Drosophila melanogaster: one gene and its partner. The protein of the gene in region 1 interacts with the protein of each later gene in a pairwise test. Each region holds a gene or a part of one and is shown on either strand. Other genes may lie near its edges.

Evidence for each region. The genes of interacting proteins can lie anywhere in the genome.
Region 2: the proteins of Spt-I (region 1) and mgl interact in a two-hybrid assay, tested with the Drosophila melanogaster proteins (one large-scale study listed by BioGRID).

Annotation. Positions count from the first base shown.
Region 1 is NT_033778.4:13,160,334-13,170,530, reverse strand, and holds the start of Spt-I (serine palmitoyltransferase subunit I), read right to left. Parts: upstream 2,034-10,197; 5' UTR 1,961-2,033; exon of another isoform or gene 1,717-1,960; 5' UTR 1,691-1,716; coding exon 1,643-1,690; exon of another isoform or gene 1,581-1,642; coding exon 1,081-1,580; exon of another isoform or gene 1,025-1,080; coding exon 697-1,024; exon of another isoform or gene 642-696; coding exon 276-641; intron 224-275; exon of another isoform or gene 215-223; coding exon 50-214; 3' UTR 1-49. Other genes in the region: GLaz (glial lazarillo), read left to right, coding at 3,970-4,107, 5,700-5,854, 5,913-5,985, 6,042-6,314; CG15870 (uncharacterized protein), read left to right, coding at 6,688-7,059; Nrk (neurospecific receptor kinase), read right to left, coding at 7,881-9,163, 9,223-9,465, 9,532-9,811, 9,874-10,197.
Region 2 is NC_004354.4:9,495,375-9,505,571, forward strand, and holds the start of mgl (megalin), read right to left. Parts: upstream 4,756-10,197; 5' UTR 4,500-4,755; intron 816-4,499; exon of another isoform or gene 602-815; intron 526-601; exon of another isoform or gene 300-525; intron 1-299.

The sequences.
Region 1 (10,197 bases):
ACAGCAAGGCCATTGTCGAAAGAAGATCATTCCTTTCCAACAACAAGGCTTATAGGACGGAGCTGGAAACACTCTCGATGACCTCAAACGCATTGTCTATTTCCGAACTCTCCAGCAAACGGTTGACAGCAATGCGAATGCTGGGACGGACTGGTTGGCGTTCCCTGTTCTGCAGGTAGGCAGCCTGTACCACAGCCACTCCACGAGCAATGCACTGGGAAAAGTGAGTAGAAATGTATAGTTTTCATAATTGCATGGGGAAATAAAATGCCTACCTTATCAGCCAGCTCTGTTAGAAGTTTCAGTTCCTTGTCAAAGTTCTCGGCGGGCTGGGCAAGATACAAGTGCTTCACTGGTGACACCTCATCGCCGCGCAGGGTTAGCTTGCTGAATCGCAAAAACTTCTGGTGCAACGTCTTAGACTTTGCCTGCAGCTGCTCGAAGATTTGTGGTTCTCGTTCGAAACGATCCAACGCTGAAATAGCCGCCTGGGTGAGCATGGGCGGCAGCGAGGCCGAGAAGATGTAGCCCAAGCCAGAGAGGCGCTGGTGCTCGGCTATGAAGTGCGAGCCAACACAGAAGCCACCGACTGTTGCCATCGAACCCTCCATGCCGGCCGATATCAGATCGACTTCATCACGCTAAAAGAAAAATACCAGTTATAATTTTAGTTTTTCTTTCCGGTTTACCACCTACATCGACATTAAAGTGCTCCGTAACTCCGTGACCACCCTGGCCCAATGTGCCAAAGGAGATGCTTTCGTCGATGAACAAACGCAGCTTGTACTTCTGACGCAAGGCCACCAGGTCGGGAAGTGGGCAAATCTCGCCCGTATTCATATAGATACCCTCGGCGACGAGGAAGCGACGTGTCTTAGCCGCCTTTTTCGGATTTTTCTGGTCTCGTTTTTCTTGCTCAATCAGCAGACGTTCTAGATCCTCAACGTCATTGTGCTTAAAGAAAACGATTGTGCTTCGTGAAGCATCCAGACCCTTCTGAATGGCAAAGTTGACAGCCTCATCCCTACAAATAACAAGTAATTAGTCGCCAATCTGAGTAGGTGAAGTAGACAATCCTACACAAAGATAAGGTCGCCACGTTTGGCATACGCCGGAATGGCACTGGCCACGGTCGAGAAGCCGTAGGAATAGACAATGGCCTCCTCCAGGCCCATGAACTTGGCAATACGATCCTCCAGGTCCAGATGCACGTCCATAGTGCCGTAGAAGCCCCGAGGTCCGCAAGATCCAACTCCGTACTTGCGCAGCGACTTGCAGGCCTCCTCCAGTATCTCCTGGTCCTCGAGGAAGCCAAGATAGTTGTGAGAGCCAAGATTTAGGCAGTCGTGTCCATCGACCTGGATGCGCTTGCCCACCCTGGACTGCACAACGCGGGTGTGCAGCAGGGGATGATTGGGATCGGTGTCGGCCACCAAGGGCTCTGGTTCATAGTCGGCGATTATTCGGTCTTCCTCCTCCTTGGTCAGCTGTCGGCGACGACCTCCTCCTCGTCTGTGGAGCAGCAACCAAATCACGGTTATGAGCAGTAGGGTCTCCAAGACGAGAGCAAACGTGGGGGTCTGTGGAAGGAGTAGAAACTGGAGTAAGCTAAATGTGGTGAAAAAGGCGAATGCAAACTTACGTTTCGGAAAATACTGCCGATTTCGTTGAACAATTGGATGGCCACCATTTTGACAGTCTGGTTCCGTGCCCTTTCTGTGAAAAATCAATTGAAACCGCCTTAATTCCCTGAAGTTATGTGTCATCTAGCCGACGCTTTCTTATCGCGGGTATGCCCCATACATATGTAGAATTGAAGCATTCGACCATACGGTACGGAAATCTTTTCAATTGGGTGTGTATGCTGACATAGGCTAATTGCCAGTGGGCGAAAAATGTGCAACCACGCCCTTCTCCAACATTCTCTTACATTAAATATCCATTTAAATCGAGCACTCACCACAAAACTCAGTTAACTATAGGCAAAATGCGTGAAATATCCGCCGAAACAGATGGATGAACGAATGTACTAAAAAATACCAATACGCGGATATCTTTAAGATGTGCGCCAAATTGGCGGCGATGGAGGAACAGTGGAATATGGAACTAGGGGACGTTTTTATTTATTTTTTGTTATTCAAAAACCTGGTCCTGTCGACCTGTCCCGCCCACCTGCCCCACCGACCTGTCCCGCCGATCTGACCCACCGACCTGTTCCGCTGACGTGTCCCACTGACCTGTCCCACCGAGCTGACTCGCTAACAACAAAATACAACAAGTTACAACAGATTTTAAATTTTTATTAAAAATTACCTAGATTTTATCAATATTTTTATGATACTGAACTCAAATAAACTTGCTACGTAACGGTTCTTTTCTAGTTATCATTTCAAATATATGATCGATTACTATTTTATATCGATAGGCAGAGCAGCGATCGCAGTGTGACCGTGCGGTGGGAAATAACGAAATCGAATTCAATTCAAACCGCCGATCCATTCAGTTTCCATTGAACTGCTGCTGCGATCGGTCAACCGATGTGAATGAGCCGCGTTACTGGCGCCATCTGAAATTCGAGTTCGCGAGATAAAAACCGCGAGAAGACAAAGAACACCGCAAAAAGCCGATGTAAACAAAGAGATATAGTTAGTTCTGCATTTTGCAAGAAAACTTTATCACATTACACGCGAATCGAAACGGATACTTGTATGTGCACAAAGTGAAATCAGCTGGACAACAAGAGTATTTTGCAATTGCCTTGGTTTATTTTCAGCCACTTGCGGCTGTCGTTTTCTGTGAAATTAACACTTTTTTCTATTGGCAGTGATGGGAAGTGTATATTTGGGTGTACCTGGCTGGTAGTCTAGATACAACAATTTACGCTATGTGTCGCGATCTAGTCTAGGTACAAGTATTCACTCTTCCTTGCAAATGTCCTTGTTTTAATATATAGTAAATTCTATTGCATTTCATATAATTATTTACTATTTACCTATATCACTATTCAATTAGACCCAAGGAAATACTTCTTTCAAAGTCACGATTGTATTTAAAATATACATAATCATTTTTATCAAGTTCCATTTCGTCTTAAATTACAATATTATTAAATAATTGCCAACTGATACTGATGAACTATACTATGTAGCTACCAATCAAAGTACCTTTCACATCACTATCTATCAATCAAATAGTTATAGTTAGCATTGCCCATGCGATAATGGCAAACCGAAATAGCGCAAAGAAAAGCCACTTCCTATTTCTCTTGAACTTGATGCGCTCGAATGAAGCTACCATGTCTACACCATGCCCACTTTCGCAGATAAATCGAGCAATGCACCCGACTAACTCCATGACACAATTGATGCATCCCAGCGCAGTATTTCCTCGATTAGGTATTTTCGCTTTTACCCGCTTTTTGCAATGCGCAATAAGTATCTCTTGGTGTGTGCGAAAATCGGTGGAGCAACCAGTTTTCGAGCTGCATTTTGACGTTGGCTTTTCTTTTACGTAACTCGCTGGCCGGGCACGAGCCAAAAACCAAAATAAATATCAATAATAAACACGGCGCCGCGCCAACCCAGTTAGTGGTTTTCACTTCACTTCACCTCACATCACATCACTTTACTTCTTCTTCTTTGCGGGACCTACCAATTCGGTCCGGCTTGCTCCACTAAGCCGGTAGCCAGCACGTTCCATTATCGCACACATCCCATCCGGAATACTAATGGACGGACATGGTGTACCTTTGAGGAAATGTATATGTAGTTGGTTCATGACGATCCATAGTTCGTTGGCCAAGTGAACCCGTCGTATCGGAAATCACCGCTTTGTGCACAGCCAAGTTAAAACGGTCGAGTTCAATGGAAATTGCCTGATTTCGAATTCCACACAGTTTAGTTAGGTGCTGGAGTGCCGATTCTGCCGCCTAAAGTGCCAAATATTCAAAGTGAACTATCAGAAGCAACCATGATGAGTGGCCAGCCACTTGGCTCGAGGGTTTGGCTGTTGTCCGGAGTGCTATTAGTGACATTTGCTGGGACAGATGCCTACGGATTTGGACGTTGCCCGAATTATCCATCGATGCCAAAGTTTAACATGAGTCGGGTAAGTTAGTTGCTGGTTTTCTCATACATACTCTACAAACTCTAACTAAAATTGCTACATATTTCGATCGCTATTTTATTAACAGCCTGTTTGGGTGTTGTAAATATTCATACAGACATTTGTTTGCAGTCTATATATACATATTTGCAATTGGCTTTATTAAACCACCTTTCAAACCTGTTACTAAAGATCTGTGTCTATTGACCCACTGAGTAACACCAGTTATAAGATTACAAAGAATTTATGAGTATGAAAATAACTATGAGTATGAATATATGAGAACTGTTTGTCCTTACAACAACGAGATGCATTGTATAACTGGCCACTCATCGCCTGTCTATTTGCCATCGTCTTAAACGTGTCACATCTTCGATTAATTGGCACAAGGCGTCTGGCGCAGACGAAGACCCCTCTTTACATCTTGGGGATTGTGCAGATGATGAACTTGAACCATTTTAAGGCCACCAAATCCGATCCGCCGTGTAAAATGCAAACCAGTTTTACAGAAGGAGGCGAGCGGCACAAAAGCTTTATGGCCTGCTGATGGTAAACAAGCCACTTATTTTATAAAGAAGTAAATCAACCAGTACCAATGCTGAGACATGGGCACGCCAAGGACAACAAAGTGCACTACAGTGGAACATTCCTGGTGCGAACATTTCGCTATTACAGCCAATATTTCAATCAAGTAATTATGGAATCATCTTGCCAAACCACCGATATGACATCACAAATGTGAAACTAATGTTTTTCGAAAGAGAAAATTAGAAAATTGGTTTCAGGTGGCTGTAAAAAGATTGTTTCAAAGTATTTCTGAGAATCCATAAATGGACTTTGTTTAGTACTCATAAATGCACGTAGTTGTTTTAAGCTATAAAAGCCGACGACTGTTCGCTTAGATACACTGTCGAGATCATGGATAGAAAATTGGAACAATCACTTAAGCAGCTCAAATTAAATTGATTGAGCCTTGATTTGCATAAAAGATAATGCACCATAATTGCCCGGTTGAGGTGGAGGCATTGTCACTCACATTATGTGGGTCTAGCGACCTCCTCTCCACTTCCACTTCCACTTCCAAATGGCACATCATCCAATTGAGTTGTTGACAGGCGTAAATTAAGCCATTTGCCACCGGCCCCGCCCCCTAAACGCACTTTTGACCCGGGGCAAAGACCTCGACTGGCCAGCAGTGGCTCTTTAATGCGATGCGGCGCCCACCGCCGACTTTGAACTGCAAGATGAGCAGCGGCCAAAAGAGCGGCTCTTCTCAATGACCAGCAGCCACAACCGAGTCTATAACCAGTTTCAAAAATGTTTACGTTTTACGCATTGTTTGCGCTAAGTGGCATTTTGATTAGTAACCCAGTTAAGTGTTTCTTGGCCGAGAGAAACGCTGCGTGACAAAGGTTTTGGCTTTCAGACTGATGGTTATCAGGTGATTCTACTTCCAATAAAACCCTTCAGATTTAATGAAGTAATTGGAATATGTAGAAGAATTTCCATTCACTGAAACAACTTACTTAAGAACTTAAGAACATGTTGAAAAGGAAGTAAAAATATCTATTTTATGTAATGTCATTATCTTGTAGGTCCTTGGACACTGGTACGAGGTAGAGCGCTCTTTTTACCTTCCGGAAATCGCCTCCGGATGCACCACCTTTCAGTTTGAGCCGTACAACAAGGGCGAACAATCGAAGTTTTCCAATTTCAAGCTGGCTGTGGCCATTAAAAACATTAATCGCATGTATGATTAAATAATCTAATAATATATATTGTGTGTTAGAAGTGTTTGTCCTTTTTAGAACTGGTAATCCGAATGTGAACATTGGCTATGCAACACCAGAAAACAGCCGATCCTCCATCATGGATTTTAAGGTATCTACAATAAATAATATTAACAACACACAATATACACAATTCCTTTTTCCTAGTTTACCACCCGATTTCCGGACGTGATTGCCCGACTACTGCCAGGTTCCGGAAAGTACCAGGTGCTATACACAGACTACGAGAACTTCGCCATCTTGTGGTCCTGCGGCAGCATTGGCTCACTGGGTCACTCCGATCAGATCTGGATTCTTGGACGTGATCGGGACTTCGAGGTGGATATCCGATCCAAAGTGTACGACGTGTTGAAGCGGCTCTCTCTGGATCCGGAAAGGCTCATCATCAGCAAAAACAAACAATGCCCCGAGGCGCTGTAGGAAGCTCCTCCAGCGTCTCATCCCCCATCTATATGTTTAAGTTCATTCGGTTAAGGAACAAATTACATTTGATGCCTAATCAATTAGGCTGCTGTGATATCGAGGAGTGTGAATCGGCGGAGAGAGGCGAAGCAACGCAAATACAGAAACAAAAAACAAGAGTAACTCGATCGAGGTTTTCAATATATGAACTCATGCCCGCATTGCCAATTAACGCGGGTGTCCTAATTAATTTGCAATAAATAGAATTTCCCAGTCATCGGAACTTAGTCGTGATTTACCAACGGATTGAAAAGGTTCTGGCCGGATAAGATGTCCCGACTGTGGATTTTGTTTTGTCTGATTTTCCTTGTGGCCCAGGCACATATGTCCGATGCGAGAGGAGGTGGAGGCGGAGGAGGACACGGAGGAGGCGGTCATGCTGGAGGTTTCGGAGGTGGCGGCCGCGGAGGCGGATTCGGAGGAGGAAGAGGTGGTTTTGGAAGAGGCGGCTTTGGAGGACGTGGTCCAGGATTCGGTCGTGGCGGTTTCGGTGGACCAGGCCGCGGAGGCTTTAGAGGAGGCGGCTTTCGAGGCTATGGAGGATATGGCGGATATGGCGGATATGCCCGATATGGCGGCTACGCTGGATACGCGGGAGTTCTTCCGGTTCCTCTTCCCGTACCCTATCCCGCAACCTATAATCGCTGCTACTACGATAATTACTATTATAATTACTACTACTGCTGATATGATACGGTTATAGATGGTTTATTTATACAAATTACAATCAACACGTTGCTTTAGTTACAAAGATTATGTAAAGTTACCCAGAAATTCGGGCTGTAGACAGTTCTCTAAATATTCCATATCTCATTTAACTTATTGTTTTGATGGTCTCCGGTGTCTGGTTCCTGTTTGTCCACCCAGTGATCAGCGATCAGTGATCAGCGATCTTTGTGGAGTGCGACTGCGATGGCAGTGCTTAAGCCTAGTCAAAAATATTCCCATTAAAATGCAATCTACATATGCGCATATATATATAAACTTAATCTACAGACTAGATATGGATACGAGACGTTGATGATGCGTTCGTTGTGGCAGACTATTCGATCGAGATCGAGAGATCAGAGGGTATAAGTGTATCAAAATAGTTTCTGTATCGATTAAAGAAAGTTATGTGAGGAAGCATCGAATGAAAGACTTGGTAACGGAGCTATCTCTTAAAGATATGGAGTTGTCATTTATACTAACTTAATCACAAACCAGATGCCCCTCTGATCTCACCTTGTGCAAAATTGAATTCAATATGCATAAGAGCTGGGGAGACTCAAAAAAGATAGTCAAGGAATGCCACCTTTATGCAATTCAGAACTATTTTATATGACCTAAACCAAAAGCGGCAATGCTGAGATACACAACTAAAGATCCAAAAGCTTATTATCAAGTGTTAAGATGATGGCATTCCCTTCTATTGTTTTTCCACCCAACCTGGCGTATTCATGCGCTTCTATTGCTTGCCCCCAAGGACAACGGACGATCGTTCTGTTCGACAAGGATTATTTCATTCACTTCTCCGGCAATCCCCTAGAGCATTGCCTTGCACTCGCTCTCGGCGATGCTGTGCTGGATGCAGTGGTTGATCTCGGCGAAGCCAGGTCGCTCACTGGGCTTGCGGTTCCAGCAGCGACGCATCAGCGCGTAGACGGAGAGCGGCGTGTTGTCCGGACAGCCGAGTACGTTGCCCTCCTTGATGTATTTGATCACCTCCTCGTGGGTTAACCCAAAGTAGGGCTGCAAGGCGAAGGAGAAGACCTCCCACAGACAGATGCCGTATGCCCACACATCCGACTCAAGCGAGAACTTGTTGTACAGTATGCTCTCAAGTGGCATCCAGCGGATCGGGATGAAGTCGTTCTCATCGCCTTTGTAATAGTCCTGCAAATAGATCTTGTGCGAGAGCCCAAAGTCGGCGATCTTTACCGCCATGTGCTCGTTGATCAGGCAATTCCTGGTGGCCAAATCCCGGTGGACGAATTTTCTCTCCGAAAGATACAGCATGCCCGCTGCAATGTTGGCCGCCATCTGCAGCAGATGTAGCTCGTTCAACTGCAGACGATCCTGTGTCGGCGCCTGGTGTGTGGCATATGGGGAGCAGGCGCGCAAGAACTCGCTTAGATCGCCAGGAGCCATGTACTCGAAGAGCAGGCACATGGGTCTGCCCAAGGCGCACACCCCCAGCAGCCTCACGATATTGGGATGATCGAACTCGGCCAGCAAACAGGCCTCGCGCTCGAAATCCATCTGCATCTGGTCGCTGGCGTCGTCCTTTAGCATCTTAACAGCGACTAGTAGATCTTCCTGATCGGGAACAAGTCCAGGAGCCCTGGCCTGGAAGACGCGACCGAAGGCTCCTTGACCCAATGATCTCACATACACTATATCCCCGCGTGGGTACTCCAACTTCTCCAGGCGTGCATTCGGTTTCGTGCCCTTCGCATCAGACACATTGGTCACCGTAGTAAGGGCCACGCAATTGCTGTGTATTGTGGCCGTGCTCCTGATGGTGCCCCATTTTGCCAAGGTGTTCGTGTTTCCATTGCCTCCGAGGGTTTCTCTACTGGTGTTCAGATTGCCGCCACAATCTCCTCCTCCACGCATGGAAACACTGCATTCGGCAGTGGCTGCTCCCGCAGGCTGAGAGTAATCCTTGTGCTTGGACAACTTATAGACTAGCAATATCATCAAGTGCAGGGTCACAATGGCCACGAAACCTATTCCAGCCAAGAGAAAGATCATCGATGGCGTGAAGAACTTCTCCATCTTGATGGGCGTGTTCAAATCGACAGCATTGGGGTCCACATAATCCGCTAAAACAGAAGTGGGTGAATTACAAAAAGTAAAAGAGGAAAAAATTTTATGATCTTACGACACATGGGTATATCGCAGTGCTGCCAGCGCACTGATTCATCCACAGTGTAGCACCAGGGATGCGGCTCCTCACCGCCAGCATTCCGGCAGTAGTTTTCGCCCTCCAGGAGCTGATGGAAGACCAGTGGTGGCTGGAAGTGCTTGTGCGGGTACTGAGTGTCCCAGCGCTGGCAGGGAATGCCCGACTTGGACACGTTCATTGTGCCCATGTAGAAGCGTCCGTTTCCATTGCGGCAATCGTCTGTGAAGAAAAGGGATTCTAGCATCAGAAAGACCTTCTTGAGGGTTTGTGATAATGAAGACTTACAGCTCACTTCGGACTCCTTGAGTTCGGTGAGACCGATGTAGGAGCAGTTGGGTCGCCGCATGGAAGCGTTGTAGTGCGGCAAGGAGGAGCAGTTGGGTAGCCGGAAGTGGCCGCGGCTCTTGATGAACATATTTCGCTCCTTCTTCTCCTCGATGAGCACCCAGTCGTTGTAGCAGAACTGGAGATGCGTGGCCTGGCAATCCTCGAAGCAGAGAGGAGCCTTCACCGCTCGACCGCCCTCCATGTGGCAGTTGGGAAACGCATAGGCGCAGAGCATTTTCTGTAGCGAAAAGAGATTAATGGGATGAGATGGGATCTCTAGATGTATCAATCGAAACTCACCTCGGCTGCTTCGCGACACAGACCCGTAAGATCGGAGATAAGCTCGTCCCAGAGCGCCGTGGTCACCTGCTCGTTCTTCCACCCGCCAGTGGGATCCTCCAGACTGTACCACACCTGGCCGGTGAGGTATTCCTTGCACACCTTGCCGCTGTACGGGGCGCAGTAGCCGTTCTCCTCCCGCTCGCGCTCGTGATGCCGCTGGTGGTGTCGCCGGGTGACGGGCTCCTCGATGGCGTTCAGGGAGTTCGCGTGCGTGGCGCTGGCAAAGAGAAACACGCACAGCCCCAGGACAGCCAAATTGGCCCCCCATTTCAGCACCATTCC
Region 2 (10,197 bases), on another chromosome or scaffold:
CGAGTTACAGATGGTACAGAAAGTACCAGAGAGTGCCAGTTAGTGCTATTGGATGGGGGGGAGGGGCGGTCGTGTGTGGGGGATTGGGACAACTTAATTTACCGCTCGACCGGCAAGAGACAGCTTCTTCTTTTTCTGGTTCACATGTCTTCGTTTGTCTAAAAAAAAAAATTTCAAACGATTTTCTTCGGTGGTTTTCCACATTTTTGTGTGTGCAACGTAACACGTTTTCCAATTAAAATTACAAGAAAATTGTTTTTCTTTTTTCTGATTTTCTGGTTGTTATTGTTTTTGCTTACCTGTCACTGGCAAAAAGAAGAGCGTAATCCAGACAGAGAGCGAGAGAACGAGCGTGAGCGAGAGAGCAGCATCGTGCGAGAGAGAGAGCAAAAATCCTTGTGCTGGCACTTTTCTTTACAAATTTTCTTAATATATCCTTTTGTTGTTGCTTTCTTCTTGTTGTTGTTGGTGGCAGGCCAATGCAACAGGTAAAATAGAGAAAATATGGAAAAAAAACAGAACCAAAACAGAAACACCGAAAACGAAACAGGCAAAAGGGCAAACACAAAAACAAAAAAAATAAAGAAAACAAAACACAAACTTTGTCAGCACTTGAAAAAAAAATCGTTTTCGTTTCTAATTTTCTCTTTGTTGAACGCGCGCCATTTTTCTTCTTGCCTTTCTTCGAGAAGGTTTTTTCTTAAATAGACTCTTTTGTAATTATTTAAATTAAATTGCTGTTGTTTTTTTTTTTATTTTGCTGGCGAGAGCCGCGGTTTTCGAACTGCGACGGCGCGCCTTTGGAAACCAACTGAAAAAAAAAACACAGCAATCAGAGAGCGAGAGAGGATGAGAGAAAGAGCGAGAGAGAGAGCGGCGACGTCAGCGCGAGACACGTATGTCGTTTAAGTCTTTCGTTTTGGTCGTTCTTGTTCTTGCTGCTGCTGCGTTGGCGCAAGCGAGAGAGAGAGAGAGAGGGAGAGAGAGCTGAATTTCAGGTGTGGCAACCGGCAAAATCACAAAAAAAATCTTATTTTATCCAAGTACACAAGAGACAGAGCGAACGATGGAACGACACGGGGCGAAACATCATTATGACCTGTCCAGAACTTAATGAGAACAGAGTTTTACATATGAAGACTACTTGTTTCTGGTTTTTGCATATTGGTTTTCGGCCTATATATATATATGTAGCTTAGAGATATACTATGTATGCAAGGCAGAGCCTAAGAATATAACTCCATCAATCGGAATTGAAATAACTAATTAGAAGAATCAGAAAGCTAACAGAAGCACTTTTATCTATTCAAAACGAAAACGTAGTCATAATATCGTTGGAGTTTCATACCTTTTTACTACCAAATCGTTTGATTGTTAAATGGAACGCAATTTATTTTATTGTCTAATGTAAAAGATAAGTTATCAACAAATTACATTGATGGATAATCTTTGAAGTAACACGTGTCACAAGAAATGTGATTTAAAATATTAAAATAAAAATGAAATGAAATGACTTGAAACATTTAACATATATGCAGGTTCCTTTAATCACCCCACTACAGAAACTGGAAATTTTTGAATAATCCCAATAAAATTGATCTGTGAAAAGATCTCTTGTGGTTTGTAGATTCGTGGTAGATTTGTTATAGATTTGTAATAGTTTTAGGCGCATGGCATGGATCGGATTCTTGGCTCTGTTTCTTCTCTTCTTATCTCTCTCACTGGCTCTCTGTTGAAAATCGGGTCGCTGCTTAGTTATTCCGCACAGGTGTGAGTGTGTCTGTAGGTGTGTGCGTGATACCTGTTTGTCCGCACACACACACACACATACGTACACAAACAGAAGAAACAGTCATCATCATCGTCTAAGCCAAGTTGCCTCTTTTCACCTTTCCTTTGGCCATTCAATTCCGCTCTCGCTCTCCCTCTCGTCCCCTCTCTTTCGCGCCCGCCTTCATCGGGCGGGAGTGGGAGGGAGAGGGCTAATGTCGCAAGTAGCCGAGATTCGATTCTTCTTCTACGCTGCCTTTTGAGCTCGCTTCCTAATCCATTAACATTTCTCTATCCCTCTCTCCCTTTCTCCTACTCTCTTTCTCGCTCTGTCTCTTTAGCCCTGTCTTCTTCCTCTTCTTCGCCTTCTATGGGCTCGGATAATTCTTCTTCTATCTTCACCATTAAATGATGACGACGCACTCGCAAGAGAAGAAAAACCCAATAAAAAAAAAAAATAATAAATAAGTCCGACTTCAAAGACTTTTATTAAAATTCAATCAATCAATCGCAAAAATGACAGTTCGATCTTCGCAATGATGAATGGATGGTTTTGAATCTAAAATCTTTGCCTTATCACCCACACTCTCATAATTATTTATCTATTTAAATATGCCATCGTTCAAAAATTTCCATAAATATACATTTTATTATTCCGTTTTTAAATTTTTTTTATTTTACAAAAGTACGTACGTATATACGATTCTGTATTATCGTATTACCCTATATAAAATAGTCACATAAATACCTATATTTATGATTCATGATTTAAAAGTGAATTAAAACACGTTTTAGCAAAATGAAATCATCTTCAAGCAAGATCATACCGTGATTTTGTATACTTCTGAAGAAGAGATCTGATTAAAACGTCAGTGATAAAAGGGCTTATTCTAGACGCCGAAAACCCATCAAAATTGATGACCAATGTTGGTGACAGATAATTTCTTTGTGCGACGTTGGCCATATAAATAATGTGTGTATTTTTTATTTATTTACTTTTTTTTTGCCACGCTCAACGATCAGCAGCGACAACAATTTAGAAAATTAGTTGCACACTCAACGAAACTCGTTCCATTGGCTTTCTAACCGGCAATGAGGCAAGCAGATCAGCGGTACAGTTGGCGGGGCGGCTAAGGGGGCTTAATTTTTGTAAGCGGCCGGGGGGGGGGGGGTGTGTTGGTGTTTCGATGGGGGCTTACAAGGGGGTGGCGAGTGGGCCAACTCTCCCATTACATCTGCATATGTGGCATGCAATTGGATCTGCCTGGCATATTCCAGATTGCCATTCAATTCGATTTGTGTTGTGTGGAGTAAGCGAAAAGCGAAGGAAAAAACCGAGAGCCGACATGGTGAATTCTCGAGCGGGGTAACCAGTTAAAAATGGGAGCTAGAGCTGGCCTCCAGTTACTGGCGGGGGGGGCGATAACTGGCGTGGAATATCTTCGAAATTGCTCGATGTCTCGTATTCATATGCATTAACAACCGCTGCTTGCTAGAACTTGCGAATCTCTCAAGTTCCAGAAACCAACAATTTCATAGATATTATCACACCAGCTGGTTAACTTTTTTAACTGTTCCTATGTTAAATTACTAATCTATGTCAATTTGAAACCGTATTTGGGTATATTTAATATGCTGAACTGAAGACACTTCGTGAAATCTTTGAAAACTATTGTTTACTCTCAAGTTTACAGTTTTCAATGAAGTTATTATGCGTGTTTGAACTTGAACTATCATGCTGTCACTTCCGATTTCGTCAATTGTTTTCGTTACCAATTCATTTTTTTTTTTTTTTTTCGTTGGCAACACCTCTGGCCAATTTGCTCGCCTGGACTTTTCCAAGCCAGTCAAATTTGCACTCGAAGTGGAAAACTTTCGACTGTGAGTGTTTCGGTCGGTTGTTGTGGCAAATATATAAATTTGTGAAATTGTCAGTGCCACAAGCAGAGATGATTTACCGCCCCGGGGGCTATGCCAGCGACTCATTTATCAAGCAAAAAATAAAGAAACCCGAAAATGAAGAGAGTTCTAAGTTGCGACTGGGAAACTTTCACCGGGTGTCGTTTCAACGCGGTGCGGCAATAAAAGGGGGGAGGGGGGACCACATTTTTTTTTGCAACTCTCGCACTTGAGAATCTCGGCCGGGGAATGGGGGGAAATGCTAGCAAATCATATTTTTGGTGAGGGCGGGATTGGCGGTTGGGGGTGTGGGATTTAGTTGGTCTCAAAGTCTCTGGGCTTTATCCTGGCCAAGCCGAGTCATAAACAAATACGGTTTGCTGCTGTTTTGTTTACATTCGCAGTGTTTGGTGCCCACCGACCGACGTCTTTTGGCCAGGGGTCTTTTGGTCTCTTGGCCAGACTGGTTTTTCTCCGGCCAAAAAAGGAAGTTGCTCGTAAAGTGGCGAAAGCCGCCAACTGACTGACCCAACAACAAAGTGTGCAAAATAAAAATTGCAAGAAGAAAAATCGTTAAATAAAATAATAAAAGCGCTTTCTTTCTGTCTGCCCCTTTTGTTTTTTCTTTGTGTGTGTGTTGTGTGTTTGTTTTCTTTCTATAAATTTTTGCGGTCTGCGTTTCTTCGATTCAACTATTTTCCATATTTTTCTATTTGATATTTTGGCAATTTTGGCGATTTTCACTGATTGGTTTTTAATTTTTGCATTTTTCGGTTTCTGTTGGTGGCACAGCAAAAAAAAAAAAAAGGGAAGAAGATCGAAATATTTACCGCCGCACTCACTCGAAAAAAAAACTCGTAACACTCAATTGGAATTTAATCGGCAGGTTGGCCTTTCTTTCTTTCTTTCTATCTTTCAGTTTACTGTTGTTGTCGGCTCCGATATTCTTGTCACTCTGTTCTGGCTGCCCACACGCTGGACGTATCTGTTGTGGGCCTGGGATTCGGGTTCGGATCAGAGTCACTATCGCACTGTCACTACAGTTGGTTACTTATTAGCCGCGCTGGCTGACCGTTCACGACGACGCTCCGCGAGCGACTGACCAGCGGATGCTAGCGCAGCCCACTCGCCGCCCAACCAAAACCGAAGGCATCGAACCTTCGAACCATCGAACCATCGAACATGTTGCGTTGCAGCCGCTACTCACAGGCAGTGCGACTTCAAACAGAGGCGCCGCTTTCGAGAGCGAAAGAATTGCATTGGTATGCTCATGACTGCCCAAGGAGCTTGCTTCATCATCAAACCAATTCATTATTATTATTTAGTTCTTATTATTGAGATTATTGTACATACTTAATAGCAAGTAATAGTTCTACTAAAATGCTAGCTTCATTTTATTTGAGAACTCCGCAGCTTCGGAGTGCACATTTCTTTGTTCTCTGCTCTGCGTTTAAGTTCTAATACTATTTAGTTACGCTGCAATTCCTAATAGCCCCCATCTACACCTCTGATGCAACATCGATTCCATGGCAAGGCTATGTTCGAGCGTGCAACATGCAGCATGTTGTGTTTTCATTCGAACAATTGTTGCTGCCACAGTGCGTGTTGGTGGTTCTAATTGACAGTTTTCCAGAACAACTTGTTGAGCTTATTGTTGTCTTAATGGGGTGCTTATCTACACCTGCCACCCCCCCCCCTCCCAGACTTTTGCTTGCCTCGCGGATTATTGGAGGACAATTCCACCCCCCCCCCCCCCCACGTCACACTCTTACACTCTCTCTATCTCACTCTCTGTCCGGGTAAATTGACGATTTGAATATTTACATAAACGATTCTGATTACAATTGAATTTATTATTTAGAGCAGCTACTTAAGCCGCTAAGTCGTTGGGTACATAGGACATACATACATACATACATACATGCATATGTGTATTCATTTGTCGGCTGTCGCTTGACAAATGATACCTTTTCATGGAACTTTTATTTGTTTATTTTGCTTTCTGGAAGGCACAATCTGCGGCACGCCGAGAATATTGAGTAAACACACAATTGCTGCTTGCCACGTGCAACGTGCTCGATGCTGGCAGCGAACGCGGTTCGAGTTGCAAGCCCCTTCAACAGGTTGCCAGGTTGCTCTACGAAAATAATGTAAGCTCCTTTACAAGTCCGTACGAAAATTAATTCAATACTCGGCTAAAAATAAACGCACTTGTTCTCAAGTACAAGCTTACACTCACACACATATGAAACGGAACCTAAGTAAATCCCATTGTTTTGGTTTTAGAACTGAGCAGGAGAATTTTGAAGAAGTTCTTCAATATTTACTCCCAAGAATTCGAGTGTATCCAAACTATTCGAATAGGGCCTTCTTCCGCGAAAAAAATCGCTTTAATTGCAGAGCAAGTCAGTCACCAGCCAAATGAACAGCTGTTTCGGCTCCTAAAAACTTTTGCCTGACCGCCTGCTGGCCGTTCCGCATTCTTGGAAGCGGAATTGAACAATTTGAGATTTTCGAAGGGGAAAAGCTGTTTCGCCTATCAGGTGGCCAAGTAGAAAGATATATACATTTCCAATCCAGTGCTGCGGAGACATCACCGAACGCTCTACGAGCTATAGGAAAATTCTCTATTGCGTCTTAATGGATTCACAAAACATTCTCGTTTAGACATATTTCGCAGTGAAAGGTGATAGGGCCAAGAAAAACAATTGGCCGAAACCGAAATGCGAAGTAAACTTTTCATGCACAAAAACCAAAGCGTGCAATTCTTATATTTATATTTACCCAGAGATTCTCGCGCGTTTTATGACGAGGGTCATTTGGGGAAAGCGTGACCCGGCCGAAAATAAACAAAATAAATTTATTAACCATCTCCAAAGTTTAAACAGCCGTAGAGCATGTTCTCGAGTGGGGGGCAGTGCGCCAAGGTTGCACACTTGATCGCAATTCAAATAAATGACTGGCTTACACAAATTATATGCGAACTTATTAACTTAAGCCAATACATCAAAATATGTTTAAATATTATATCAAAAATAATAAAGTTTTTATTTCAAGAAATTCCCCACCAACCATAACATTTCCTAAGTTATTTATTGAATAATCAGAAACCACGTAGATATTAACTATACGTACTAATCGTGTTGTTAATCTCGAAATTGGTTTAACTATTGTTCCGGATATGTAACTGGATGCAACGGATATGATATAAGGTAAATTATTTGGGTGAGCCCAAGTGCATGTGAGTAATTGGAAAAGTTTGACACGTTAACACGACACAAGTTGGTTAACTGATGTTATATTTTTTCAACAAGCTATTTTCCACGTAACCCAGGGGAAAAATAACCTTTGCTTAGCAAAAAAAACGGAAATCCGTTTAAAAATAAAGCTTAAACGACCACAGCTTTTAGCCAGCATTTCACTCTGGTTTATTGGTTTAAGCCAAAATAAACCTATAATATCGACTTTTAACAGCTTCAAAAAGCTAACACTTTTAAGCTTTAAGCTTTTGCAGAAAGCAGTGTTACTGTGACTTGGGAAAGTGACCGTTAAAAGCTTTTCTATTTCCTTCAACAACTTCTGTTAAGCCAAAAGAGCTTTTCCGAAAAATGTTACACCAATGTTAATGTAAGGAAATCGTTTTCTTTATTTAATCATTGTATTCTTAAGTCTACTGTAAGTAATCGTTTTAATTAGTAATTTTAATTTCTGTTGTGGATTCCATTCCGCGTCTCCTGCGTTTTTGCTTTCTTACTTTTCTTTTCTTTTTTTTTGTTACTTTTGCTTTAGTTTAGTAATAATATTCATTATAAGATACGAGTAATCTCAAACACAATAGAGACAGTTACAGAGCGACACACACATTTTAATTATATTATTATTGCTAAGACACAAGAAATAACGATTTTGAAATAAATGCTAACAAAAAAAAAATTAGAAAGAGTGCCAGCCCGGTTTTTTTTTTCAAACCGTGCCTTTCCAAAATTTCTTCTTTTGTGGTTTGCTTATTTTGAATATAAGGATTGTGGTTCACGATTATTTATTTGGCGGGTACAATAGATTTACAAATGGAGTTTTATGAGATTCTGGAAAACCTTTTGCTAAATACAATAATTTCCCTCGAATTTCTGCAATGGCTGACACAACTTTTCTTACATTTATCTCCGATTTTTGGCAAACATAATGGCGAACTACGAGTACGACTAGTATTTTTTATTCATTTTCATCTCAGCTTCACCTACAAATTATATGTATAGAATATAATCTGCAATATATAGGTATATCTGTATATATTTCATTAAGTATATTTAATATTTAAAACTCTTTGTAACATTTAATAAAGTTAAACATTGATTGCTCTTGCGTTGTGACAATAAGTTACTATATAATCATATAATCAATCTGTCATTATGTATACATATAGCTCATTTCTATAAATATATCTTTTACATCCTTGCATTCTCATCATCATTTTTGCCATCATCATCCAAATTCTCCATCATCTCGTGTTGATTATCCTTGACTATGTTTAATAATAAAAAAATTCTCTAGTTTTGTTTTACACACATCTTTTGTATTTTTCCTTCGTCGTCCAGCGACATTTTGCTCAGGTCAAATTAGAGGAAAGGGAAATTTTTAGTTACGGGTCTCTTTAATTCTCCACCCATTTCATATTGAAAATTGGGGCATTTTCCTTCATTTTCCTGGAGTGCTAAGAAGACGCAAACTCGTTTCCGGTTCGAATAGAGGAACACAGAGAGTAAATTAAATATTCGAGTATTTTGTTATGTACATTCTAAATATATTTATGACGAGGACATATATCCTATGTTTATGTGTACACTCTATGAGAAACAACAACATCGAGACTTATATAAAAGAAAACTTCAACGACTTGAGAGTGCGGCGATCTCTTCAATTCATATTTCCATTTTTAATCAAGGGTGCAAAAATAATACCCAAATCTTTTGTAAATATAAACCTAAATTAATTACATTTTTCCTATAATTTTATAGAGAAGAAAATAAAACAAATTGTGCAATATTAGCAAATTTAAAAAACCAATTATATGTGCACTAAAAAAAAGAAGGAACAAGTACTGTTTGCAAAATATGAATGAATACTTTCAGATGATTTTTAAACGAGACAGTTTTTCCAAATATTCGATTTCATCGAATTGCACTACGTTACATGCCACACACACACAAAAGCCGAAATAAAATTGAAGAAATCATCAAATTCTCAAGTTGTTCGTCATGTATGTAGTAGTATTATTATTATTAATTGGGGTTATTGGATTTCGGGCCTGGTCTACTCGAACTAAAGGCTGGCTGACCTGCTGGGCTGGGCAAGCAGCCAGCCCAGTTCAAAAATAGTTGAATTTCCACATCGTTTTATTGCTGGTTTGGCGATAAATCGTTTTGCTCTTAGCCTAGATTTCATTTTCATTGTTTAGTTAGTTTTCACTAATGTTTTAATGTTGCTTGGTTTTTTTTGCTTGATTTTTGTTTTTAGGTACCATGGTATATTTGTCAATTCTTTTCAATTTTGATTGCGCTGGTTGATTGAATCAATCAGGGTTAAATGGTAACTGGTAAATGGAAAAACGAGCTAGTTCGAAAAGCACCTGAGGATTTCCACTTTCTAATTGCATTGGATTCTGTTCTATAGGTAAATAGTCTGTGGGATTGTACATATATATATTAGTTAGTTTTCATTTTGGTGGTTTTCTTTCATGCGGTGGTTCACGACGGTTCTACACAACATCCAAAAAAAAAAAAAAATGAGGAGTAACTAGGTCCTAAGTAAATAGTTATTTTTTAAGTCGCTCTTTTTCCACTTTTTTCGTTCTCGCTAGTTATTCACTAATATATCAATTCCTGAATATACAATATATTGATTTAATTTCATGTGTTTTTTTGTTTTATTTTATAAACTGATTACATTGAGTTGCGTGTTCACTTGAAATCGATTGATAATGGAACCTGTGGAGAGAAAGTAGATTTTATTATCTTAGGTGATTTCATTTAGGAAAAAATATTTTTAAAAATCTAAAAACTTATAATTGCAAATCAAAAGTGGCAAGTGTTTCAATTCATCATGGTCTAGTAAAATAATTTAAACCATTTAAATGATAGAATCTAAAATCTGGCCACCAAGTTAATTGCAGATATAAATCGTTAATAATTTACGGCCAGCTGTCAGAAACTGTGCTCACTCCACTAAAGGACACTCGGTTATTTCAGACCATTAATTTTGCCCTACATGATTATGATCATGGTGCTTAGCGAGGACCAAGCGATGTTTGTTTGTCCCGCACATTTTGCAAATCAAATGGCCGCCGGCAGTTAGCTTAACGCAATTCAGTTGGCAATGGCAATTGCATTTTGATTTTCTATAATTAGTTTGCCGGGGCGCCGGCCAAGTGGCCAGGATGGGAATGCAAACTAACACGCGTTTCAATTAAACGATGCCCACATTAAATTAGCCTTATTGAGCGGACTGCAGGGTGGGCGTGGCCAATGGGGG